Arabidopsis thaliana: one gene and its partners. The protein of the gene in region 4 purifies or fractionates together with the protein of the main gene of each other region. This does not show direct contact. Each region holds a gene or a part of one and is shown on either strand. Other genes may lie near its edges. The genes, in order: AT1G30630, AT2G34840, AT4G34450 and AT4G08520.

What was found.
Region 1: the proteins of AT4G08520 (region 4) and AT1G30630 fractionate together in Arabidopsis thaliana (co-fractionation; one large-scale study listed by BioGRID). This does not show direct contact.
Region 2: the proteins of AT4G08520 (region 4) and AT2G34840 fractionate together in Arabidopsis thaliana (co-fractionation; one large-scale study listed by BioGRID). This does not show direct contact.
Region 3: the proteins of AT4G08520 (region 4) and AT4G34450 fractionate together in Arabidopsis thaliana (co-fractionation; one large-scale study listed by BioGRID). This does not show direct contact.

Annotation. Positions count from the first base shown.
Region 1 is NC_003070.9:10,857,689-10,862,203, reverse strand, and holds AT1G30630 (Coatomer epsilon subunit), read left to right. Parts: upstream 1-1,881; 5' UTR 1,882-2,030; coding exon 2,031-2,201; intron 2,202-2,290; coding exon 2,291-2,380; intron 2,381-2,573; coding exon 2,574-2,725; intron 2,726-2,809; coding exon 2,810-2,945; intron 2,946-3,037; coding exon 3,038-3,193; intron 3,194-3,394; coding exon 3,395-3,474; intron 3,475-3,564; coding exon 3,565-3,658; 3' UTR 3,659-3,972; downstream 3,973-4,515. Other genes in the region: AT1G30640 (Protein kinase family protein), read right to left, coding at 12-95, 333-507, 684-907; MUR4 (NAD(P)-binding Rossmann-fold superfamily protein), read right to left, coding at 4,234-4,481. UniProt on the Arabidopsis thaliana protein: The coatomer is a cytosolic protein complex that binds to dilysine motifs and reversibly associates with Golgi non-clathrin-coated vesicles, which further mediate biosynthetic protein transport from the ER, via the Golgi up to the trans Golgi network.
Region 2 is NC_003071.7:14,700,493-14,704,881, reverse strand, and holds AT2G34840 (Coatomer epsilon subunit), read right to left. Parts: upstream 2,395-4,389; 5' UTR 2,280-2,394; coding exon 2,106-2,279; exon of another isoform or gene 2,014-2,105; coding exon 1,924-2,013; intron 1,841-1,923; coding exon 1,689-1,840; intron 1,596-1,688; coding exon 1,460-1,595; intron 1,371-1,459; coding exon 1,215-1,370; intron 1,052-1,214; coding exon 972-1,051; intron 811-971; coding exon 717-810; 3' UTR 511-716; downstream 1-510. Other genes in the region: MEE25 (NAD(P)-binding Rossmann-fold superfamily protein), read left to right, coding at 1-90. UniProt on the Arabidopsis thaliana protein: The coatomer is a cytosolic protein complex that binds to dilysine motifs and reversibly associates with Golgi non-clathrin-coated vesicles, which further mediate biosynthetic protein transport from the ER, via the Golgi up to the trans Golgi network.
Region 3 is NC_003075.7:16,468,999-16,476,771, forward strand, and holds the start of AT4G34450 (coatomer gamma-2 subunit, putative / gamma-2 coat protein, putative / gamma-2 COP), read left to right. Parts: upstream 1-1,737; 5' UTR 1,738-2,957; coding exon 2,958-3,003; intron 3,004-3,227; coding exon 3,228-3,376; intron 3,377-3,478; coding exon 3,479-3,592; intron 3,593-3,682; coding exon 3,683-3,883; intron 3,884-3,962; coding exon 3,963-4,064; intron 4,065-4,498; coding exon 4,499-4,606; intron 4,607-4,686; coding exon 4,687-4,920; intron 4,921-5,059; coding exon 5,060-5,310; intron 5,311-5,442; coding exon 5,443-5,614; intron 5,615-5,687; coding exon 5,688-5,843; intron 5,844-5,914; coding exon 5,915-5,965; intron 5,966-6,147; coding exon 6,148-6,285; intron 6,286-6,364; coding exon 6,365-6,562; intron 6,563-6,643; coding exon 6,644-6,775; intron 6,776-6,859; coding exon 6,860-7,033; intron 7,034-7,229; coding exon 7,230-7,469; intron 7,470-7,602; coding exon 7,603-7,773. UniProt on the Arabidopsis thaliana protein: The coatomer is a cytosolic protein complex that binds to dilysine motifs and reversibly associates with Golgi non-clathrin-coated vesicles, which further mediate biosynthetic protein transport from the ER, via the Golgi up to the trans Golgi network.
Region 4 is NC_003075.7:5,415,448-5,421,182, forward strand, and holds AT4G08520 (SNARE-like superfamily protein), read left to right. Parts: upstream 1-1,761; 5' UTR 1,762-1,941; intron 1,942-2,418; 5' UTR 2,419-2,439; coding exon 2,440-2,454; intron 2,455-3,295; coding exon 3,296-3,455; intron 3,456-3,660; coding exon 3,661-3,808; intron 3,809-3,895; coding exon 3,896-3,973; intron 3,974-4,605; coding exon 4,606-4,690; intron 4,691-4,788; coding exon 4,789-4,848; 3' UTR 4,849-5,192; downstream 5,193-5,735. UniProt on the Arabidopsis thaliana protein: The coatomer is a cytosolic protein complex that binds to dilysine motifs and reversibly associates with Golgi non-clathrin-coated vesicles, which further mediate biosynthetic protein transport from the ER, via the Golgi up to the trans Golgi network.

The DNA of each region.
Region 1 (4,515 bases), on a different chromosome or scaffold from region 4:
TAGTGCATTACCTGCCCTCGTCGAAGCATCTCGGATTTCTTTAACTTTTTCATTGCATATACGCTTCCAGTAGATTTTTCTTTACAAATTCTCACCTGGACAGAAATGAAATAATATTAAATCAATACACCAAGTAAAATCACTAACAGAAGCTTTGGTTCATAGAAAAAGAATAATAGCTAGTTATCAGTACTTCGGTAGCCAGTAAGAGAGCTAAAAAAGAAGCAACATCAAATTTTATATGTAAAGATGAGACAAGATATTAGCTAAGCTTACAAAAAGGAAGTGAAAAATAAGAGAGGCAACCACAAAGAACACATAAAGAGATATACCTCACCGAAAGCACCCCGGCCAATGATGCTAAGCAGTTCAAAGTCATCAACCCCCATTTTCTGTCTTTGTAGACGCATATACTCCATTTCCTTTTTCTCAAAGTTCTTTAATATATCCATCTTGTCTTCAACAGTAACATCAGCATCAGCTAGGTTTTGTTCCAAGATGCTCCGACTGTATTCAAGAGCGAGCTGATATCAGAAGGTTCAATCTAAACCAGTAGCAGATTAATTCCTAAATCAGACCCAACCATCAGTACTAGAAAATAAGACTACTCTGAAGTTCCATTTGTAACAACTAAAGCACAAGAAGTAAATATTGGCATCACAAGAAGAATCCCGAGAACGTACCGCTCTTTTCTTTCCTGGAGACTCTTCTTCTGAATTTTATAATGATTCTCGATATATTGCTTCGCTGCAGCAACTTTCTGTTTAGTAGCATTAGATGGTGCATCATTCATAGGAGGTCTCCCAAGATTCTTCACATTTCCCTCTTGTCCCTTTTTAGTAGGGCTTGATTTATCCGGTTTCTGCTGCCGTATCTGGAACCAGCTCCTTGTAGGCTCCGTAGCCATTTCAATCCAATCTAATGCAAATCACTTCATAAAACCTGCAGAAAATCAAAACAAAATTCCAAAACCCAAATGCTTCAAAACTAAATCAAATTGATGACAAATTCTTGTCTAACAACGCTGGTCAACACCTAAAATCTCACCGTAAATTCCGGAAACAATATTAAAACTTTCACTTCCAAGTTAATTCCACACGAATCGATTTTAATCACTCTTGACATAGAGATACATATACATCTAGTTCTGGATTGTGGATTGCACGCATGCATTCGAATCAAAACTTGCTTATAATCAAATAGTTACAAACTCCAATTCCAAACAAGATACGCACAAACACCATGCGAGATTGAAGAAGAAGAAAAACGAAAAGTCAAACTATTCACAAAGAAAAAGTAAAACTCGATCGGGGAAGATGACAAATTTCGCGAAAGGATCAAAGAAACTTACATCAACAAAACAACAAATCAGAGAGATTTTGATTTTAGCTCTCGCTTCGAATTCGAACTGTTGCTTACACGCATTCACTTAAAACGGAATTTTTTTAATTAAAAGATCTCAAAAGGGAGAGCAAAAACGGATTACGAACTAATAACGTTTTTTGGGCAAAGCGTATTTTATCTTGAAGCAGTAAACGCCGTTTAAGTTACAGTCACGATGACTCGGTGGCTGATTAAAACCAATACTGGTAAACCGGCTTTTAACTATTCCCGGGTCATTTATTGGGGAAGCTAAATGACACGTGTCAGTAAATTGTTGGATTTGTTTGTCGACATAACGTGACAGCACGATTGAACGGAGTGGTTTGCTAACGTCATTAGAACAACTCCCGCGCGAATTGGATAAAAACGCGTTTTATTGGTAAGACAAGATTGTCACCGTCCGTATGTAGGAGACGTGTAAAGAGAAGCAGAGTGTCGAACTAATTGGGTCATCGAAAAGCCCATTGGGCCTAAAATAGATAACAATGAGTGTCAATTGTAACATTCAAAATGTATGGGGCTTTATGTACATCTTAAGGCGTCATATTTTTTTGGTTTTGATTATTCACACTTCAGTTTTCTTTATTTTGGAGTTAGACACGGATCTGTGAGATCTAGAAGAAGAAGAAGAAGAAGAAGCTAAGACAATGGCATCCATGGCAGGACCAGATCATCTCTTCAATTTGAGAAACCATTTCTACTTGGGTGCTTATCAAGCTGCGATCAACAACAGCGAGATCCCTAATCTTTCGCAGGAAGATATCGTCGAGCGAGACTGTCTCGTCCATCGCGCTTACATCGCTCTCGGAAGTTACCAGGTTTTGCTTCCGTCTCGTGTTTTTCGATTTGGATTTCAATTTGTTTTGATCATTTGCTGATTTACGTTTTTCAAATTTCGTCTTCGTAGCTTGTCATCAGTGAGATCGATGAAGCCGCTGCTACTCCTCTACAGGCAGTGAAACTCCTTGCTATGTATCTATCGAGTCCTGAAAACAAGGTAATTCAAGAGATTTTGAGATGTTTCAATTCATCTTCTGTAACGTTTGCTTAGCGGAATTTCAGATAACTTTAGTAGAATTCTAGGATTCTTTTGATGATTTAGCTTCAGAGATCCGGAATTGAATATATCTTGATCTTATTTTAGTGATCTGCATTGTTGAATACGTAGTTGTTTCTGTGATTTTGGTTAGGAATCAACCATTTCGAGCTTGAGGGAATGGTTGGCAGATCCAACTGTAGGAAACAATGCTATTATCAGGTTGATTGCTGGTACTATATTCATGCATGAGGAAGACTATAATGAGGCTCTGAAGCACACTCATTCTGGAGGAACCATGGATCTGTGAGCTTTTCGATTTGTTTTGTCTTGTCACAGCGATCTCTTTTCGTTTACTCGATAAATGATTGTTGTTTCTGCATATTTTAGGCATGCTTTGAATGTCCAGATATTCATAAAGATGCACAGATCAGATTTTGCGGAGAAACAACTGAGAGTGATGCAACAGATTGATGAAGACCACACACTCACTCAGCTCGCGAGCGCGTGGTTGAATCTGGCAGTAGTATGATATGAATATCCATTTCTTTTTTCCATATAGTGTAGAGAAGTTTGTTAATGTGTTTCTTAATATGAAATTGTTCTTTATGATCTCAGGGTGGTTCCAAGATACAGGAAGCTTATCTAATCTTCCAGGATTTCTCTGAGAAGTACCCAATGACAAGCTTGATCTTGAACGGCAAAGCAGTTTGCTGCATGCATATGGGTAATTTTGAAGAAGCTGAGACTCTACTACTTGAAGCACTCAACAAGGTGAGTGATGAACCTACTCTTTCTTTCCTTAAATCTGTATCGACACAACCCATTCTCAATATCATGTCATCGGAAATGCTCACTCGATTTAAATCTATGAGGATACTTGAAAACTCCTTACACCAAATCTAAACTTTTCAACTATTCCGTTTATTATAAAATGGACAAGTTTGAAATCATAGATGTTTATTCTCATTGCAGGATGCTAAAGACCCAGAAACTCTTGCAAACCTCGTTGTATGCAGTCTTCACGTCGGGAAATCATCTTCTCGCTACCTAAAGTATAAATATTCATGACCTTTTGCATTTTCTGCATAACAACAAGTGCATCAGTAAGCTGACTTATTCCTCCATTTCCAATCCTTTTGCAGCCAGCTGAAACTTTCACATCCAGAACACGTCCTTGTGAAGCGAGCAGCATCAGCTGAAGATAACTTCGAGAGAGCACTTCAATCTTTCGCCTGAAGTACCTCAAAGTCCATGGAATCAATTTGCCTTATGATCTACCAGAAGAACATCATATTATTACCGACCCTATCTTGAAATTATCATAGATAAACAGTTTTTTCCATTGGATATGTTGCATTTTACTTTGATTTCTCACTGAAGCTTTTGTTTTCATTGAGTTTCGAATCCAACAGAACTACAGATCTTGTTCCTTGAAATCCAGAATCTCCATAACTGATGAGACAAAAGGCAGACTTTTGAAAACGAAACATTCGCTAATGTATGCAACACGGAGCTTAGATCTAAATTCCGCTTTACAAATTAAAAGCCAGGAATGCTATATATTATTAAGACTAATCAATAAATATTGTGAGAGGTACATATACTAATGAATGGCTGCTTCCTAAAAGAACCTAAAGCCATTACAAAATGAATATCAATCAAAAATCTCGTCATGTGATATCATTTTTTCATAATATGGATAATATATCTTGTGTTATATTTATATATAAACCATCATCATCTCCTACGCTTCTCTCCTCAATACCATCTGGAATCAAAATCTCCGTCCATCACCAAAGGAATGAACAAAGTCAGTAAACCGAGACCGATGAGGTTGTTAAGCCATAGCCATTACGGTGCAGCTTCTGCCATCTCCATGCAGTCTCAAGACTCTCTTTGAGATTAGTGTGCTTAGCTGTCCAGTTAAGTTCCTTCCTAATCTTGCTTGGATCACTGTAAACCTCAGCGTAATCACCTGCACGTCTAGGCAAATAGTCGATCTTGATCTCAACACCAGTTGCTTTCTTGCACGCCTCAACAAACTCTTTCACCGAGCTACCTACTCCACCCATACACAACAAAAACAGTCTTTA
Region 2 (4,389 bases), on a different chromosome or scaffold from region 4:
AATCTTCAAGAAAGTTTAAAGATGGCATGGAGATGGCAAAAGCTTCATCGCAGTGGCTATGGATCTTCTTCCTTGGTTTCTGCATACTGACCATTATGCATTAGGTATGTGAGCATTGCCCTTCAAGGACTCCTTCATTAGAGTCTTGATTCTAGATGGTAGTGAAGGTAGTAGAAGAAGATGGATTTATTCTTAGTAGAATAGTATTCATCTTATCCATATATAGAGATTATATATGAGATTATTGATTAATAAAATATCATCCATGTCAATCACCTATTTTATTGTGATTGAGGTTTATCAAAATCCTAACGGAAGACATATGTCGCTTCTTTGTGTAAAAAGTGAAAATCATTGGTTGGAAAAAAATTGAAGTATTTCCAAGTGAGAAGCTTTTGTTTGTTTTGGTATTTCTAGTTTGGATTCAAACGATCGGTTGAATTCACTCAAGGTTTCGGGTTGAGTTACACGATCTGGATTGGTTAGGTTCGAAATTAAGTAAATGACAAACGGAATTGAGAGTGCGAGAGGTGGAATTTGATATTTTCAAGTAATGAAATGTAACTTAACATATCTAATGGCAAAAGCTGGTTCATATACTGGTTTCGAAAAGACAAGACAGTATGGTTGTTCTGGTAGATTTACCAACCCGGTGAAAATATGCGGTAAAGCAAACAAATCCTGCACGTCTTTTAGCTTGAACCATGGAAGAGTCTTTAGGCGACCAATTGAACTGCTCTCTCGAAGTTATCTTCAGCTGATGATACACGCTTCACAAGTATGTGTTCCGGGTGTGAAAGTTTTAGCTGGCTGCAAGAAGGATAGGTGATACAAATGAAGTTAACAAACGAGACCGACCAATGTTTTTATTAGGATTAAGGACACAGTTACTCTCGATTAACTTTTCAGTGAGTTCTACTGATTGATTGGGCAAATGATGCCTAATATAAGAGTAGATAATGAAAATTTACCTTAGGTGGCGTGAAGAAGACTTCCCGACATGAAGACTGCACACAACAAGATTTGCAAGAGTTTCTGGATCTTTAGCATCCTGCAATCACCACAAATTAGTATAAACACACTTCCCCATATACAGAAAAGCCAAGAGACAAGTGCAGTGTGAGAAATTTAGAGAGGTCCCTAGTTTCATATTGTTCCCGAGAATGCTAATGTACAGAGCAAATTTAAGGTACACAAGCCTAATTTGTAGTTACCTTGTTGAGTGCTTCAAGAAGTAGTGTTTCAGCTTCATCGAAGTTACCCATTTGCATACAGCAAACAGCTTTGCCATTCAAGATCAAGCATGTCATTGGGTACTTCTCAGAAAAATCCTCGAAAATGAGATAAGCTTCCTGTATCTTCGAACCGCCCTGAAATCAAATAACGCCTTAGCATAAGAAGCAAATACACAACTCTTTGAAAGAATAAGCCAGAACACATTGAATATTTCGCATTATACCACTGCCAGGTTCAACCAAGCGCTAGCAAGTTGAGTGAGAGTGTGGTCTTCATCAATCTGTTGCATCACTCTAAGCTGCTTCTCAGCATACTCTGCTCTATGCATCTTAATGAATATCTGAACATTCAAGGCATACCTAGAAAAACAATAGCAATGAGCCATCTAAGAACATGTTTTAAAACACAGTATAAATACTCAATCCACCAAATAAAAATCGAAAAAATCTTACAAATCCATAGTTCCTCCAGCATGAGTATGCTTCAAAGTTTCATTATAATCTTCTTCATGCATGAAAATAATACCAGCAATCAATCGTAATGTATCATTGTTTCCTATTGTTGAATCTGCTAACCATTCCTTCAAGCTTGAAATTGTTGATTCCTGAACCAATAACAATCGTTCCATATAAGCATTTGAATCTCTTTACAACATGTTTCGTGAACACGAATCAAAGCCGTAATTACCTTATTTTGAGGAGTCGATAGATACATAGCGAGGAGTTTGACTGCTTGTAGTGGAGTAGCGGCTGATTCATCGATCTCACTGATAACAAGCTTATACACACCAAAATTTGGAAGAACAGATCAAAACAAAACGTAATCGAATCTAAAGAAGAAGACATTATCGATATGATTAGAGAAGTAACCTGATAGCTACCGAGGGCGATGTAAGATCGGAAGACGAGACAGTCACGTTCCACGGCGTTTTCCGGCGAGAGGTTGGCGATCTCGCTGTTGTTGATCGCCGTTTGATAAGCTCCCAAATAGAAATTGTTTCTGAGGTTGAAGAGGTGATCTGGTCCTGCTCCCATGGCTGACATTGCTTCTTCTTCTTCTTCTTCTTCTTCTTCTTCTTCTTCTTCTTCTTCTTCTTCTTCTTCTTCTTCTTCTTCTTCTTCTTCTAGATTTCACAGCTTCGCGTCTAATTCCAAAATCCAAACGAAAGTAAACGGGTTAATAACATAATAACCCCTTAAGTTATAAACTGAATGCATAATAATCCCAGTTCTTTTTGAACTGTTCAAGTAACATCACTAATTTGATTTGGGCCTTGTGCGGCAAAATAACGAATCAGGTTCTTTGTTTGACTCCTGGGCTTTATATCTAGTTGTGTGTTGTGAGCTTTTGGTCAGTCTATGTTTTAAAATCAGAAACGTGAACAAGTTTTTTTTATATATTAAGCATATCACACACTACTCGAAATAGTATTAGACGACAGACATGGTTGAATTAGTGTACTAGATGTCTACATTTGGTAGTGTTCAAAAAAAAAAAAGATGTCAACATTTGGTTGAACGAGCTATTCTTAATTAAAAGAAAATCAATAAATTCATATTTGTTATTATCAGAATGTGTTAGGTTAGTTTTATCGGTCTAGATGATTTTGTATTACGGTGATGTTAATCGGTTGAATAGTCATTGTATATATACTTGTACAAAATACATTTACGGAAATTTAATCAGAAAATATCTTCTTCTTCATCTGTAACAAACTTTCTTATCTCTCGATCGTAATATGGTATTAGAGCCATCAAAGCTCAAATTTCTTCATAAATCATCTCATGTCGATCTAAGAAGCAACATGTTATTTCTAGATACTGAGCATTAGCTCTTGCTACTTGTGAGTTGGTTTGGTTGCATACATTGCTCGTATCTTAAACGGATACTACTTCGATTCTTATCTTGTTTTCAGACAGTACAGATGTTATCTATATTGCAATCAATTATATCTTCCATGAGAGCACGAAATATATTGAGATTGACTGCCATACCGTGCGTGACAAGTTGGATGATGGTGAGCTTAAACTGCTTCATGTTCCCACGGATGATCAAATAGCTGATATTTTGCTAAACATTTGTTCTCACATCAGTTTGAACATCTAAAGTCCAAGATGAGCATTCTCAACATTTTCGAATCCTCATATTGAGGGGTCATATCAGAGAGTGTTGATTTAATTTATCGGTTTAATTGATTTTGTATTACGCGGGTTATATTAACCGGTTGTATTGTCATCGTATATATACTTGTACAAAATACATTTACAGAAATTTAAGGGGAAAATATCTTCTTCTTCATCTGTAACAAACTTTCTCATCTCTCAATCGTAATAATTATATATAGGATATAGTTAAATAAACATAGTTCAAATTTAAATCATGTTATAATATACATATAAGAGTATGACTGTTGTTTTTGTATGAACTTGAGGAACACTTAAAGGGCATGGTCGATTTTACGTAAAGTCAATATTCATTTCACATGTTCAAAGAAGTCCTCGTGCTACACAACCCAATTAATAACATAAATCAATACTATAGTTTATCAAAAAATATCAACCTCTAAAGTCTAAATGTTCTATCAATTTGTGTACTTGTGATTCGTGCAATTCTCTGTGTAATGGGTTTAGGCTCGCTTTTAGCTGAATTAGAATAATTAATGAGTTATGGTTATCAGACATTAATTACATGCACCTTTTAAATGTAAAATGCATCTTCTTGGAATAAGCTCCTCTAGTTTGGTTCTTACTTTATGCAAATTTTGTTTTAATGAATCTCTTTTCTCAAGTAATCTATAATAAGTTTACTATTTGTAATCCCTAATAATCCAAAGGCCTTCTCACTTCTAAAAGTTATCATCATATGCATCTTTTAAATAGCATTGATGTGTCTAATCATACGTTACCAATCTAAACACACATATTCCGTGGTTAATCAGATTTATCTTTCTTTGTCAATTTAAATTCTTATATTGTTTTAAATATATCTGACTGGATAACAGATATTAAATATTACTATTTTTATAGAATCCGTTCATCAACATGCGTCACCGTAGAACGAGGGATGCATGACTTATTTTGTTTTAATTTTTGCACCGTATGGTCTAATTATTGTAGTAAACAATATATAAGTTCATGCCGTTTCATATTAAAA
Region 3 (7,773 bases), about 11 Mb from region 4:
AAGTGTGATACGGTTAGGGTTAGGCGTATCCTTTTGTTACCGTTGTGATAAAATTTCCTTTTTGTTTCTGCTACTCAAATAAGAAAAGGAAACAATCAAAATTTCCTTTTTTCATTGAACAAACGTGTACTTATAAATACACCCCTTCTCTCTTCTTCCTTGAGAAAAGTCTCCATTCTCTCTTCTTCTTCCTGGAAACCTAAACCACGTAAGGATTTGCTCTGAATCTAAATATTGACGTGGAGAAGACGCGATCTTACTAATTCTCCATTCTCTGCTTCAACTTCACCGTAAGATTGAACAAACCTTTACTTATATATACCTCTTCTTTCTTGAGAAATCCAAATTCTCCATTCTCTCTTCTTCTTCCAAACCAAAACCTAATTCTCCATTCTCTGCTTCAACTTCACCGTAAGATTGATCGGTTGATAAAGCGGCTCTTTTTGGTGATTGATCTCTGTTGTGACTACATCTTAGGTCAATTCAGATTGCTTTCATATCAAGTCTCTCCTAATTTCACAAGATCAAAGATCCCGGCCATGGATTCAGTTGTCGACGGCGAAGGAGAACACAAACGACGACTAAGGATGCGAAAGTGGGAAAGAGGGATATAACGAAGACATGGACAATGAAAGCAACGAGCAGTATAGAACCAAATCAATGGATCATGATCTGTGTTTGGTACTAGGTGTTTCCTTGGCGTCGACGAGATCTTTTGAAAATCTTGTGTTTCGTCGATATCACAAGCAAAGGTATTTTCTTTTTTCCTTTTCTATTTTTAATGATTCATTTTTTACTAAATAAAAATTTATTTTTAGATTTTTTTATTAAGTGTTAAAATTTTCAATTTTGTGTAAATTAATTTAAATTTTTAACACTTGTTTTTGTTTTTATTAAAAACTGTTTTTAAACCTATATTTTTATACTACTATTAAAGTTTTAAGGTTTTTCTTATTAAATATTAAATTTTTAAATTTTGTGTAAACTAATTGGATACATCATCCAATCCCCTAAGAGGTGTTCTAGGTTCAATAGATGGTTTACACATCATTTAAATTTTTAACACTTGTTTTTTATATTTATTAAATAAATGTTTTTAAACCTAAATTTTTATACTACTATTAAAATTTGAAGTTTTTTTTTATTAAGTGTTGAATTTTTAAATTTTGTGTAAACTAATTGGATACATCATCCAAACCCCTAAGAGGTGTTCTAGGTTCAATATGGTTTACACATTATTTAAATTTTTAACACTTGTTTTTCTTATATCAAAAATATGTTTTAAACCTTTATTTTTATACTACTATTAAAGTTTTAAGTTTTTTTATTAAGTGTTAAATATTTAAATTTGTGTAAGCTAATTGGATACATCATCCAAACCCCTAAATAGTGTTCTAGTTTCAATATGGTTTACACATTATTTAAAGTTTTAACACTTGTTTTCCTTATATTAAAAAATGTTTTAAACCTATATTTTTCTATTACTATTAAGATCTTAAGTTTTTTTTTTAATTTTGTGTAAACTAATTGGATAAATCTTAACTCCTAAGAGGTTAGGTTCAATATGGTTTACATATAATTTAATTTTTCTTATATTAAAAAATGTTTCTATTTTTATTTTACTATTAAGATTTTAAATTTTTTTTTGTTAAGTGTAAAAAATTAAAATTTTGTGTAAACTAATTGAATATAACATTCAAACCTGTAAGAGGTGTTTATAGGTTCAATATGATTTATATATAATTTAAATAGTTTGCTATTTTGTTTAGAATCAAAATATTTTTAAATGACATGTTGTAATAATTGACCAAAAGAAATTAGTGTGTGATTTTGTTGAAATGCAGAGTACAAAGCCTTAATTTATACCAAGTTATGGTATCTATAACGTATATGAATACCAAAATTTTATTATTTTTAATTGGTGTTGTATTTTATAATTCGAAATAATTAGGGGAACGGGCAAAACCTCTCTGTTCTCTCGCTTATATTTTTTTTAGAGAGAAAGCAAATCAGTTTCAACGATCGGATATTTTCTGGTGTTAGCCGTCCTGACTTTTTGGGCTTTCTGTCCGATATCACCGGCTCTGGTAGCGGTGTTGGTTGGCTCTAGTCCGGCAGCGTCTTGTTCACATAACCGGTGGTTGCTGGCTCTTGGTTTCTCTCGTCGATGTAGATCGATTTTTAATCTGTGTTTTTTTATTTTCATGTTTTGTTTTTAATAATTCTCATCTGAGACATGTTGGTGATAGAGTGAATGCAATCTCGCTTTCTAATGCTTCTTATCCGATCTGTTCTTTTTTAAGTTTTGATTTACAGAAATTTTTGGAGAAATTTGAGAATGATGTTGAAGAAAAGAAGTGGATTCTGTTGTTAATTATCATAGCCTTAAGCTGTTGTATATTTAACATGAGCCTCGATTGCTTTTTATCGGTGAAAAAACAAAAAGATCCATGTTCTATGAGACTATCGACGGTGATTCTTTCACCGAAATCGGTGCTCAGACGGCGAAAATGAAGTCGGTTCGCTTTAGAGTACTCATCTGACACGTATATTAATATATCGACATGTGGTTTGGGATAGAGTCAAACTATAGTTTCTTCTTCTATGAAAGACTCTCTGTTGGCCTATTTGGTCCTAAATCGTTTCTGTAATCGCGGACTTTTCTTTAAGCTTTGACTATCTTGATTAATACAATATTTCTCTTGGGACAAAAAAAAAATAATCTTAGTATTTCTTTAATATTTTTTGTTTGGGTATGGGCTATTGGGCCGCTTCGAAAAGTTCACTTTCTCTATCGATCTCTCACAGTTTCTGAGTTCTCTGACTCAAAAACATATAGTAGAAGAAAACGATTAGAGATCTTCTTCTTTCTCCTGTTGCATCTGAAGATAAAGGAAACAGAAAGCGCGAGATCTGAGTGACGGAGTAATTTCAAAGGGAGGTTTTCGAGATCAGAAATGGCGCAACCCCTCGTGAAGAAAGACGATGATCACGACGATGAGTGTATGTGTTCTCTCTTAATCTCCTTATAATTTTCGAATCAGCTGGTTTTCTGCAAAATGTAGATCCAGATGTTAAGCTTCTAGATCTGTTATCATTCAACAGTCGTGATTGTGATTTGGTTGTGTAGATCTACAATCTCAAGTCCGATTTAGTTTTGTTTACCGCATTCGATCCCGGTGTGAATTGCTTTGCTTATTTCGATTTCTGATTTTTTGTTGGATCAGTGGAGTATTCTCCATTCATGGGAATTGAGAAAGGAGCGGTTCTTCAAGAGGCTAGAGTCTTTAATGACCCTCAGGTTGATCCTAGACGATGCTCCCAGGTCATTACGAAGCTTCTTTATTTGCTTAACCAAGGGGAGTCATTCACCAAGGTCAGTTAATTTTTTTGCTTATACTGATTCGATGTCATGCTTATGGAGAATTGAATTATTGTGTTCTTATCCTCTCGCGATGGTTGTTTGTTTCATATGCAGGTTGAAGCAACGGAAGTTTTCTTTTCAGTTACAAAGCTTTTTCAATCAAAAGACACGGGTTTGAGGAGAATGGTCTACTTGATCATTAAGGAGTTATCTCCATCATCTGATGAGGTCTGTAAATTTTACTCAATTTCAATACGAACATCGTCGCACTTATTGTAGGTATATTTTCTGATAAGTTGTTGGTTTTTTCGCCCATAGGTTATCATCGTAACAAGCTCTCTGATGAAGGATATGAATAGTAAAATTGATATGTATCGAGCAAATGCTATCCGTGTCCTCTGCCGGATAATAGACGGAACCCTTCTCACTCAGATTGAGCGATACTTGAAACAAGCCATTGTGGATAAGAATCCCGTTGTTTCAAGTGCAGCTTTAGTCAGTGGGCTTCACTTGCTCAAGGTACCTTTTACACACCAAAACTATTAGGTAGCTTCTTAATTGTAATGTTATGCTTATATTCGTATATTGCTGTTTTCAGACAAACCCAGAAATTGTTAAAAGATGGAGCAATGAAGTTCAAGAAGGTATTCAATCCAGATCAGCCCTTGTTCAGTTCCATGCCCTAGCTTTGCTCCATCAGGTTAGTTTGTTGCATTATTATCACCGAAGTCGATTGGTCTATGTTTCTACTCTTTGTTTAATTAAACAGCCACTGAGAAGAAGTATCTCGGAAAATGAGAGGTGTTACTATGTGTATTGGACTAGATTCATAAATAATAAGTTTTCTGTAGCAGCATCGTAGCTCTTTACTACGGCCTTTTCCAGCAATTTTAGTTTCTTGTGAGGTTTAATCTGTGTCTGGAGTCTGTCTCAGATACTGCTGATTCTAGCATATGTAACTAATTAGGTTGGTTAGGACAACCTATTTATGTGTCTAAGATGTACGAGTTACCAAATGATATGTATTGCTGCTGTTACGTTGATTTAAAATGACTCCCAACATGATACACTCTCAATCTTTGATCTAATAACTGTCAATCTTTGATCAACTTGATAATCTTTCATCATATTCAGATACGCCAAAATGATCGCTTGGCTGTTAGCAAATTGGTTGGTAGCTTGACCAGGGGATCTGTCCGCTCTCCCTTGGCTCAGTGTCTTTTGATACGTTACACCAGCCAGGTTATTCCTCTCTTCTGTTTGATCATTTGATAAGTGGCTGATTGTATATGTGTTATTTAGCTCTGGTTTCTAATATTCAGGTTATCCGTGACATGGCCAACCACGGTCAATCTGGAGAACGTCCGTTCTATGAATTTTTGGAGAGTTGCCTGCGCCATAAGGCAGAAATGGTGATCCTTGAGGCTGCCAGGGCAATTACTGAGCTTGATGGTGTGACAAGCCGAGAACTGACTCCAGCAATCACTGTTCTTCAGCTCTTTTTGAGTTCCCCCAGACCAGTGTTGAGATTTGCCGCTGTCCGGACTCTGAACAAGGTTTGCAATGCTTTCAACTGTTCTCTTTGTACATTGACACCGAAATGATGTTTTACTATTCTGGGTAGATTCATCATTACCTTTATCATGAGGATGAGGAGATATTTCACTGTATACTAAACACAAGTTTGAACCACAGGTTGCAATGACTCATCCTATGGCTGTCACCAACTGCAACATTGATATGGAGAGTTTAATCTCTGATCAAAATAGAAGCATTGCTACACTCGCAATAACCACACTATTGAAAACAGGGAACGAATCAAGTGTAGAACGTTTGATGAAGCAGATAACTAATTTTATGTCAGATATTGCTGATGAGTTCAAAATTGTGGTCGTGGACGCAATAAGATCGTTGTGTGTGAAATTCCCACTGAAATACAGATCCTTGTAAGTAAAGTTTTAGGGTTTGTTATTTGTAGTTTTGGTCTCGAGCATTTCTATTTTTTTGAATGATTAAATATGTTATGGTATCTTTTTAGCATTTGGCTTATGATTGATCTATCACCTTTTCATTTGTAGGATGACCTTCTTAAGCAACATTCTTAGGGAAGAAGGTGGATTTGAGTATAAAAGAGCAATAGTAGATTCTATTGTGACCATTATCAGAGATATTCCGGATGCAAAGGAAAGTGGACTGCTTCATCTATGTGAATTCATTGAAGATTGTGAATTCACATATCTTTCAACACAGGTAATTATTCCATCATCCATCTGGGGTTGCTATTAAAAACTTATGTGTTATTGAAATGTTTATTCTCGCACAGATCCTTCATTTTCTGGGAATTGAGGGGCCTAACACCTCAGATCCAAGCAAGTATATACGATATATATATAATCGTGTGCATCTAGAAAACGCCACTGTCCGGGCTGCTGCTGTTTCCACACTTGCAAAGTTTGGGTTTATGGTTGAATCCTTGAAGGTATAGTCATCATAACAACCATTATTTTTATTTTCCGTTTATCTTCTTTGACTGATGATAATGCTCGACAGCCCCGGATTACTGTTCTATTGAAGCGTTGCATCTATGACAGTGATGATGAGGTGCGTTCCTAGTCTTAGTCTAGAAAAGCATTGCTGTTTCTGTATGTCTGTTTGTTTTGAGTCGTTGCATCATCAAACATGCATGCATGTGTTTGCCTCTGTAAACATTTTCGGATGCATGCAATGCAAGTTGTTTGATGATTCCTTCCTTGCTCATGAGTCAGACATCTTTTTATCTTAAGGTCCGTGATAGGGCAACACTATATTTGAGTGTTCTTGGTGGTGATGGTACTGTTGACACTGATAAAGAGAGCAAGGATTTCCTATTTGGTTCCCTGGAGGTTCCTCTAGTCAACATGGAAACTAGTCTGAAGAATTATGTGAGTTAATCTATTTCTCGGTTTTCTCCTTTTCAATATTCTTAGGACATCAGTTATCTTATATCTGGGATTCCTGCAGGAGCCCTCTGAAGAAGCTTTTGATATCAACTCCGTACCTAAGGAAGTTAAATCTCAGCCCCTTGCAGAGAAGAAAGCCCAGGGTAAAAAGCCCACTGGTCTTGGTGCACCACCAGCTGCACCTGCTTCTGGTTTTGATGGCTATGAAAGACTTCTCTCATCCATTCCAGAGTTTGCCGCCTTTGGAAAACTTTTCAAGGTTAGGGGCTGATTTGTCTTCTGTGTTATTCTAATGTTAATGGCTTATCTTGTTTGCTTTAACTTGTACTTTCTTTTTCAGTCTTCTTTACCTGTGGAGCTAACTGAAGCAGAAACAGAATACGCTGTCAATGTTGTTAAGCATATCTTTGACAGTCATGTGGTGTTTCAGTACAACTGCACTAACACAATACCAGAGCAGTTGTTGGAGAGGGTACTGAACATTGGTGTAGAATATTAGTGTCAAGCATATCTTATCTTTCTTTCCTCATTTAATTAATTTGGCATGGGGTTGTAGGTCAATGTCATTGTAGATGCTTCAGAAGCTGAGGAATTCAGTGAAGTAACTTCAAAGGCCCTAAACTCACTTCCTTACGATTCACCCGGTCAAGCCTTTGTGGTTTTTGAGAAGCCAGCTGGGGTCCCTGCTGTTGGAAAGTTCTCCAACACATTGACTTTCGTTGTTAAGGAGGTACATGTTAAATAGGCTATTCACTTCCATCTTTTTATTTACTTACACTGAAAATGACCCCATAATACTTTGTGGAGAACTCTTATAAACAACGACTCATTTGGAGAGGAGTACCAGAACGACTCAAATTAATCACAGAAAACAAAGAAAACTCTCTAACTACATTGTTTGTGCTTTTATGAATGTGTTAAAACAGGTTGACCCAAGCACAGGTGAAGCAGAAGATGATGGAGTAGAAGATGAGTACCAGCTAGAGGATCTTGAGGTTGTAGCTGGAGATTACATGGTGAAAGTGGGTGTCTCCAATTTCAGGAATGCGTGGGAAAGCATGGATGAAGAAGATGAGCGTGTAGACGAATATGGCCTTGGCCAAAGAGAGAGTTTGGGAGAAGCTGTAAAGGCTGTCATGGATCTTCTTGGCATGCAGACTTGTGAGGTTAGTCTCTTCCACTTTTTTCTCATACTCTACTGAGACTTGAGGGCTAAAATTATTGTTGATAAAGTCTTTTTTGAGTATATGACCATTTGTTGTGTTCCTGAAATTGAAACTGACACTGGATAAATAACAGGGGACGGAGACAATTCCGCTCAATGCAAGGTCACACACGTGTCTATTGTCAGGTGTGTACATAGGCAACGTGAAAGTGTTAGTGAGGGCACAGTTTGGAATGGACAGCTCAAAGGACATTGCAATGAAGCTGACAGTTAGAGCTGAAGACGTTTCTGTCGCCGAGGCCATT
Region 4 (5,735 bases):
TTTCTGAATAATGATGAAAAAATCGAAGAGGATGTCTTGGAATTTTGAGACTATCCACAACCATTAGGACCAACAACATGCGTTTGTTGAACAAAACTAATGTCCACACAAAATATGAATCTCCCGAGCAGAGTAAGAATAGCCCATTTTTCATTGTTTTGTTTCCTCTCTATAAATAATTAGTTATCACTTAATTAATATTAATATCAGTTTTTTGGTCCTTCAAGATTTTAAGGAAGAGAGGCTAAAATGGTGTGGTGAAAGGAAGGTATGTAAATCAGACACTATGGGTCTTGTTTTAGTTATTAAGGCAATGGTCTTGTTTTAGTAACTAATCTTACTCCTAATACACATGATTATATGGTGGATATTTTAACTTTTGAGCGGAATAAGTTAGAGTCCAAATTAGCAATTGTCCAAAGAGTTCTCAATGGAGAAATAAACATCAGTCCCGATCTTGATGTGGTCTTGGAAAAGAATGGTTTTTAAAAATATGGCAAGACAGTGAACTCATCAAGAAGCTATGACTACGTCCCAGAGGATCTTATCTCGATGATTAGAGATCCTTCAAAATAGATGCATTAAAGGCATAATTAGATTACGTGAATAAAAGACTGGGTACTATCAACTCTGAAAGCCAGAAGCACTCTGGATCAATAAGCTAGATGATTTTGATAAAGCACTTGAGGTATGAATGAATTAGTTTTATGATTCTCCACAACAAATTATGTGTCTGTTATTTGAACTGAACTTTCTTAATATTGCAAGGACTCTGGTCAAGACTCTCAAGTTAATGGCGATTATAATATTTAGTGCATAGATGGCACAAATATAATTTCCATTCTTATCTATAAATGATTATGGTATAACTGTCTACCAAAGGTTCCAAAATTAGTATTTAACAAAAAAAATATTTCAAAAGTGAAATAAAATGTATACCTCCCATCTCTTAGATCTAATTTTAATTTTATTACATATTTTAAGGATATGCCAATTTTTCGATTTTTTGTTAGAGACAAGTTATCATATTTCAACATTTTTAGGTATCTTTATATAAAGATTTATTCTATATTTGGAAAATTATTCTTTCCTAAATTATTATTAAAATCTGAAACTTAAAAAATATATAAAAAATTAAATATATGAACTAAAATTTATACAATCTTTTTCATATAAATTGTGCTTTTTGTACCTCGGACCATAGTAGTTCTCTTTGCATCTGAAGTGTTGTTGTAACCGATCCGAAGATGGTAAACATTTACAAGGAAAATATTATTTTGGAGTGGGCCTTTATACAAAACTATCAAATCCTACCTAGCTCGGGGATCATAATTTTTGTTGAAAATGTTTGCATGGCGATTTGAAGCAGTAATATGAAATAGATTTTGATTGTTATCATCAACTTCCAATAGCAGGTCGAGACACGAACGAAGTAGAATTTCTACAAACTCAATGTATCCGGACTTTACGACCTCAACAAGTAAATTTTGAGGTGAAGAAGTAATTTATAATTTATCTTCGAAAATATTTACAATCCTTCTCATATAAATATACAAGTTTTTCCATTTTTTTGTTAGAGACAACTTTTCACATAATTATCTTTATTTTTTGAAATTTTAGTATTATATTGTTTTTCCAACTACACATTAATTACAAAATACTCCTTGATGAATTTATCTGAGAAATTTACCATATTTTGTTATATTATTATTAATTTAATTTTGCGTAAACGGGAGACTATACAATTAAGTTTGAGTTTCCTGATTTTCAAATGTTGGGTTTGTTTGTATAATTTCAAATGTTGGGGTTTAATTTGCAATATTCCCGAATCCCGACTACTCATTCTAAAATATAATCAGACCTTCGCGTCTTCTTTAACAGTTAGTTCCATACCATCGTCGCAAGCTCTCATCTTCTTCAGCTCAAAAAGCCATCTCAAAGGTAAAAGTTTCTCGAGTTTGTCTTCTCCGTTTGATTGCTTCTTCATCCCTATCGAGATTCGTATGATTTACGTTCTAATTTCGTCAGATCGATGAAAGATCCATTGACATTCTCTAGAGATCTGAATAAAATATTTTCTGTTATCGTTCACAGTTTTGATGAGATTTTTGTTTGGCTCTGTAGATTTCTAAGTTTTTAATTGTTTTCAATTTGCCATTATGATCTATCATTCTCATAGCTTCAGTAAGAGATCTGATCGTTAAGTTTTTCAGATTGAGAATCGAAATTTGACTTAGAGGTTATGTAGAAACCTTAATTTTAAGATCTTCCCTGATGATCTAGTACTCTCTTCTTAGATCTTGGTGTATTCAGTGCTAGTTTTGTTTCTTAGACTAAATGTATTAGATAGATTTCTCAGTTTTTGTTCTGTGTGTTTGTAGTGTGTGGTTATAACACTTAATTTATCACTATTTTCAGGTATATTTTGAATCAAAAACAATGGCAGGGACTAATGTAAGTACATCTCTAAGCTCATTGTATACTGTTAAGAATCATTATATTGTTGTCTGTAAATAGTCTTGTGATGCTTTATGGTTTGTTACACTTATGAGATTCTTTGCATTGTGGTGTAATATAATCTCCTCTGTTTGTGTATAAGATCACTATGTTAAGATTGATTTTTTCTTGTTTTGTTTGTTGAGTGGGTAAGTATGTTTTCAGAAGGTGTGACGAATCTTAGGTTCATGCCCCTATTGTTCTAAGATTGTTTGCATCTTTCAATCTGGAAGCATAATTAGGCTTTGTTACTGTCTAAGTAACATAAGTTCTGGTAGATTTTTGTAAACGTTCTTTTGCTGCTGAGAAAATTCCAATTGCTTATGAATCTGCTTTTGTGCAATATCATCATTTGTTTGTTGATGCAAAATAATTTGGATTCTATCTGTTGGAGCTGCCATTTGTCTGGTGTGTCATGTTTTTGTATGTCCTTTTGTTGGCCAGGTTGAATTTAACTAAAGCTTGTATTATCTTTTGTCCTAAGTGTTTTTAGCAAATTTATGTATTAGCATTTAGCACCATAGGTTTGATTGGCCTATCTGGTCAAGCCATAGATGATGAGTATTGAGTAGCTGATTTAGCTTTTTAGTTTGATTGGTGGCAACAAATACTCAAGAAACTTAGGCTTTGGACCCTGTGTAATTGTCCATATGATTGGTGATAGTTGGACTGGTGATCTTTATCTACTTTGCTGTTGTAGAAGTTCAAACTTACATGATCCATTTTAAGGATTCTCGCTTCTGCTTGTGCTTCTCTCTCTTAGTACTTACATGCTGACTATCTGGTCTACAATGAATAGGATTCTTGTCCTTTGGTAAAGAACATTCTTCTTCTAGACTCTGAAGGAAAGCGTGTGGCTGTCAAGTATTACTCCGATGATTGGGCAACTAATGCTTCCAAGTTAGCTTTTGAAAAATATGTCTTCTCGAAAACCTCCAAGACCAATGCTCGCACAGAAGGTAAGATCAAATTGAAACTTCAACACATGTACAGTATTTATATATGTAGTTCTCTGTTTGTTGTATCATAGGAGTATGAAAGCTTCAGATTATATTTTACTTGTTGGCTGTCTATTGGGTTTCCTGATTACATATGTGCATATTTCCTGTTTCAAACAACTTGTAGGTGTGTATAATTTTTTTTTTTTATGTTTACTTTTTGCAGCTGAGATCACACTGTTGGAGAGTAATATTGTTGTCTATAAGTTTGCCCAGGACCTGCATTTCTTTGTTACTGGAGGTGAAAATGAAAACGAGCTCGTCTTATCATCTGTTCTTCAAGGCTTTTTTGATGCTGTTGCGTTACTTCTGAGGTATTTAACCCACCTTAACAAATGACTATGTGCCTTTCTTGATCAGTGATATACGAAATTAAAGTTGAACATCCTTTCTCCTTACAGGAACAATGTTGAAAAGATGGAAGCCCTTGAAAACTTGGATCTCATCTTTTTGTGCCTTGATGAGATGGTTGATCAAGGGTATGCTACATATGCTTTCAAATACTATTCTACGATTTTTTTACTATGTTAAATTCGGAAATCTATCATTTTAGCCTTGCACAAGAGTTAAAAGATTACTGAGTTCGGAAATCTATTGCAACTCTTAAACATGGGTGTGTAGAGTTAAAAGATTGCTGAGTTTAGCTTGCTCTTCATATCTTAACAATTAGCTTTCTAATATGCTGATGGAGTTGAGCTAAATACGGACATAGTGAGATCTGGTACTTAGATACTATGAGAACTTATTGTTTGATCATTGATGAACAACTTCTGGCCGTGTGTTGAAGCGTTCTTGTTAAGTCTAGTGCAGAATATTTGCAACTAGCCTAAGGGGGGGTTATGGGATATGTAGCTTTGCCAATTCAGGAACAGACCTTACGTCCGTTAGTTGATAGCTGAAGACTTAAAAGACAGCTTAGAGAATTCATTAGGGGCATTTTGGATTTGTTGAGGGTTTTGGTTTGGGCATTGGTTGAGAGTGTAGAGACTTTTCTCGCTAATGAAGTCTCTCGAAAGTGTAATTCTTTAGTAACTAGATAAAGAAGTTTAACTGTTTTGAATCCCTATCACTGTGATACTCATCTTTGTATTGTCTTATGAAACTTGTTCAGGATGGTACTTGAAACAGACGCGAATGTTATTGCGGGGAAAGTAGCAATGCAAAGCGCAGAAGCAAGTGGTTCACTCTCTGAACAGGTGAGACGCAATATGACTACTACTAAACTACCTTCGAGCAAAGCGATAATCTTTATATCAATCATGCGGTTGACCATTTTTTGGATTTTGTATTGTAGACATTAACTCAAGCATTGGCAACAGCTCGGGAGCACCTTGCGAGAAGTCTTCTTACATAAATTTTCATCGTGGGAGCGAAATGATATATTCATAAGCCCTTGTAACCAACCATATCTGAAATGGTTACCCGTTCACTAGAAATCAACCCCTATTGACTTAACTATCTCATGACTTTGTTTTCTTATGGTTTTTTGGTGGAACTTAGATCTTTTATTCGCCTGTTCTTGCGGAACCATCTTTTTAAATGTGAGGATCAACATTGCACTAGTGATTGATTGCTTTACATATCTAAGACGGTTGATCTTAAGTGTTGCGATTTAAGATGGGAAATCTCTCATAAGCTAAGTCGTTCAGTGGCCCAATCAAAGTGGAAATAAAGAACGGTTTACCGTTTAGACGTCAATCCATCTGAAGAAAGCAGTTGACAGTGGTTCGAAATTGGTTAAGGAAAGACCAAAATCTGAGAGATGCAATCCGAATTTCTATAAAAAAAAACGCACATTGAGAATCGTATAAAGAATGTTTTACAATATGGTCTATCAACTTAGATCAATGCGGATGCAAGTTATAGAAAGTCCCGTAAAGTGCGAATGTCGTAATAGAAGCGGATATTCGATTTTTAAAAAAATAATATTTATTATTTGCTTCGATTTTTATGAATACTTTATTTTTCTATTTGTTTTGGTTTTAAATCTTACGGATATTCGGATTTTTTGAATCGAATTAAATTGAATATCGAATCGAAACTGATCGAACAAATATTTTGCCCGGCCCTACTTCTTATATGAAAAGTTTGTGCTACACCTTTTTTATAATTGGTTCTAGTAAAGTAATCTCCAATTTATATTTGCTCACAAATTTTTTGCCATATCTCTTAGTCTTTAGCTATCTTTTATTTTTTTGGGTCAAAATCTCTTAGCTATCTTTTGACTAGGTCCGGGCAAAC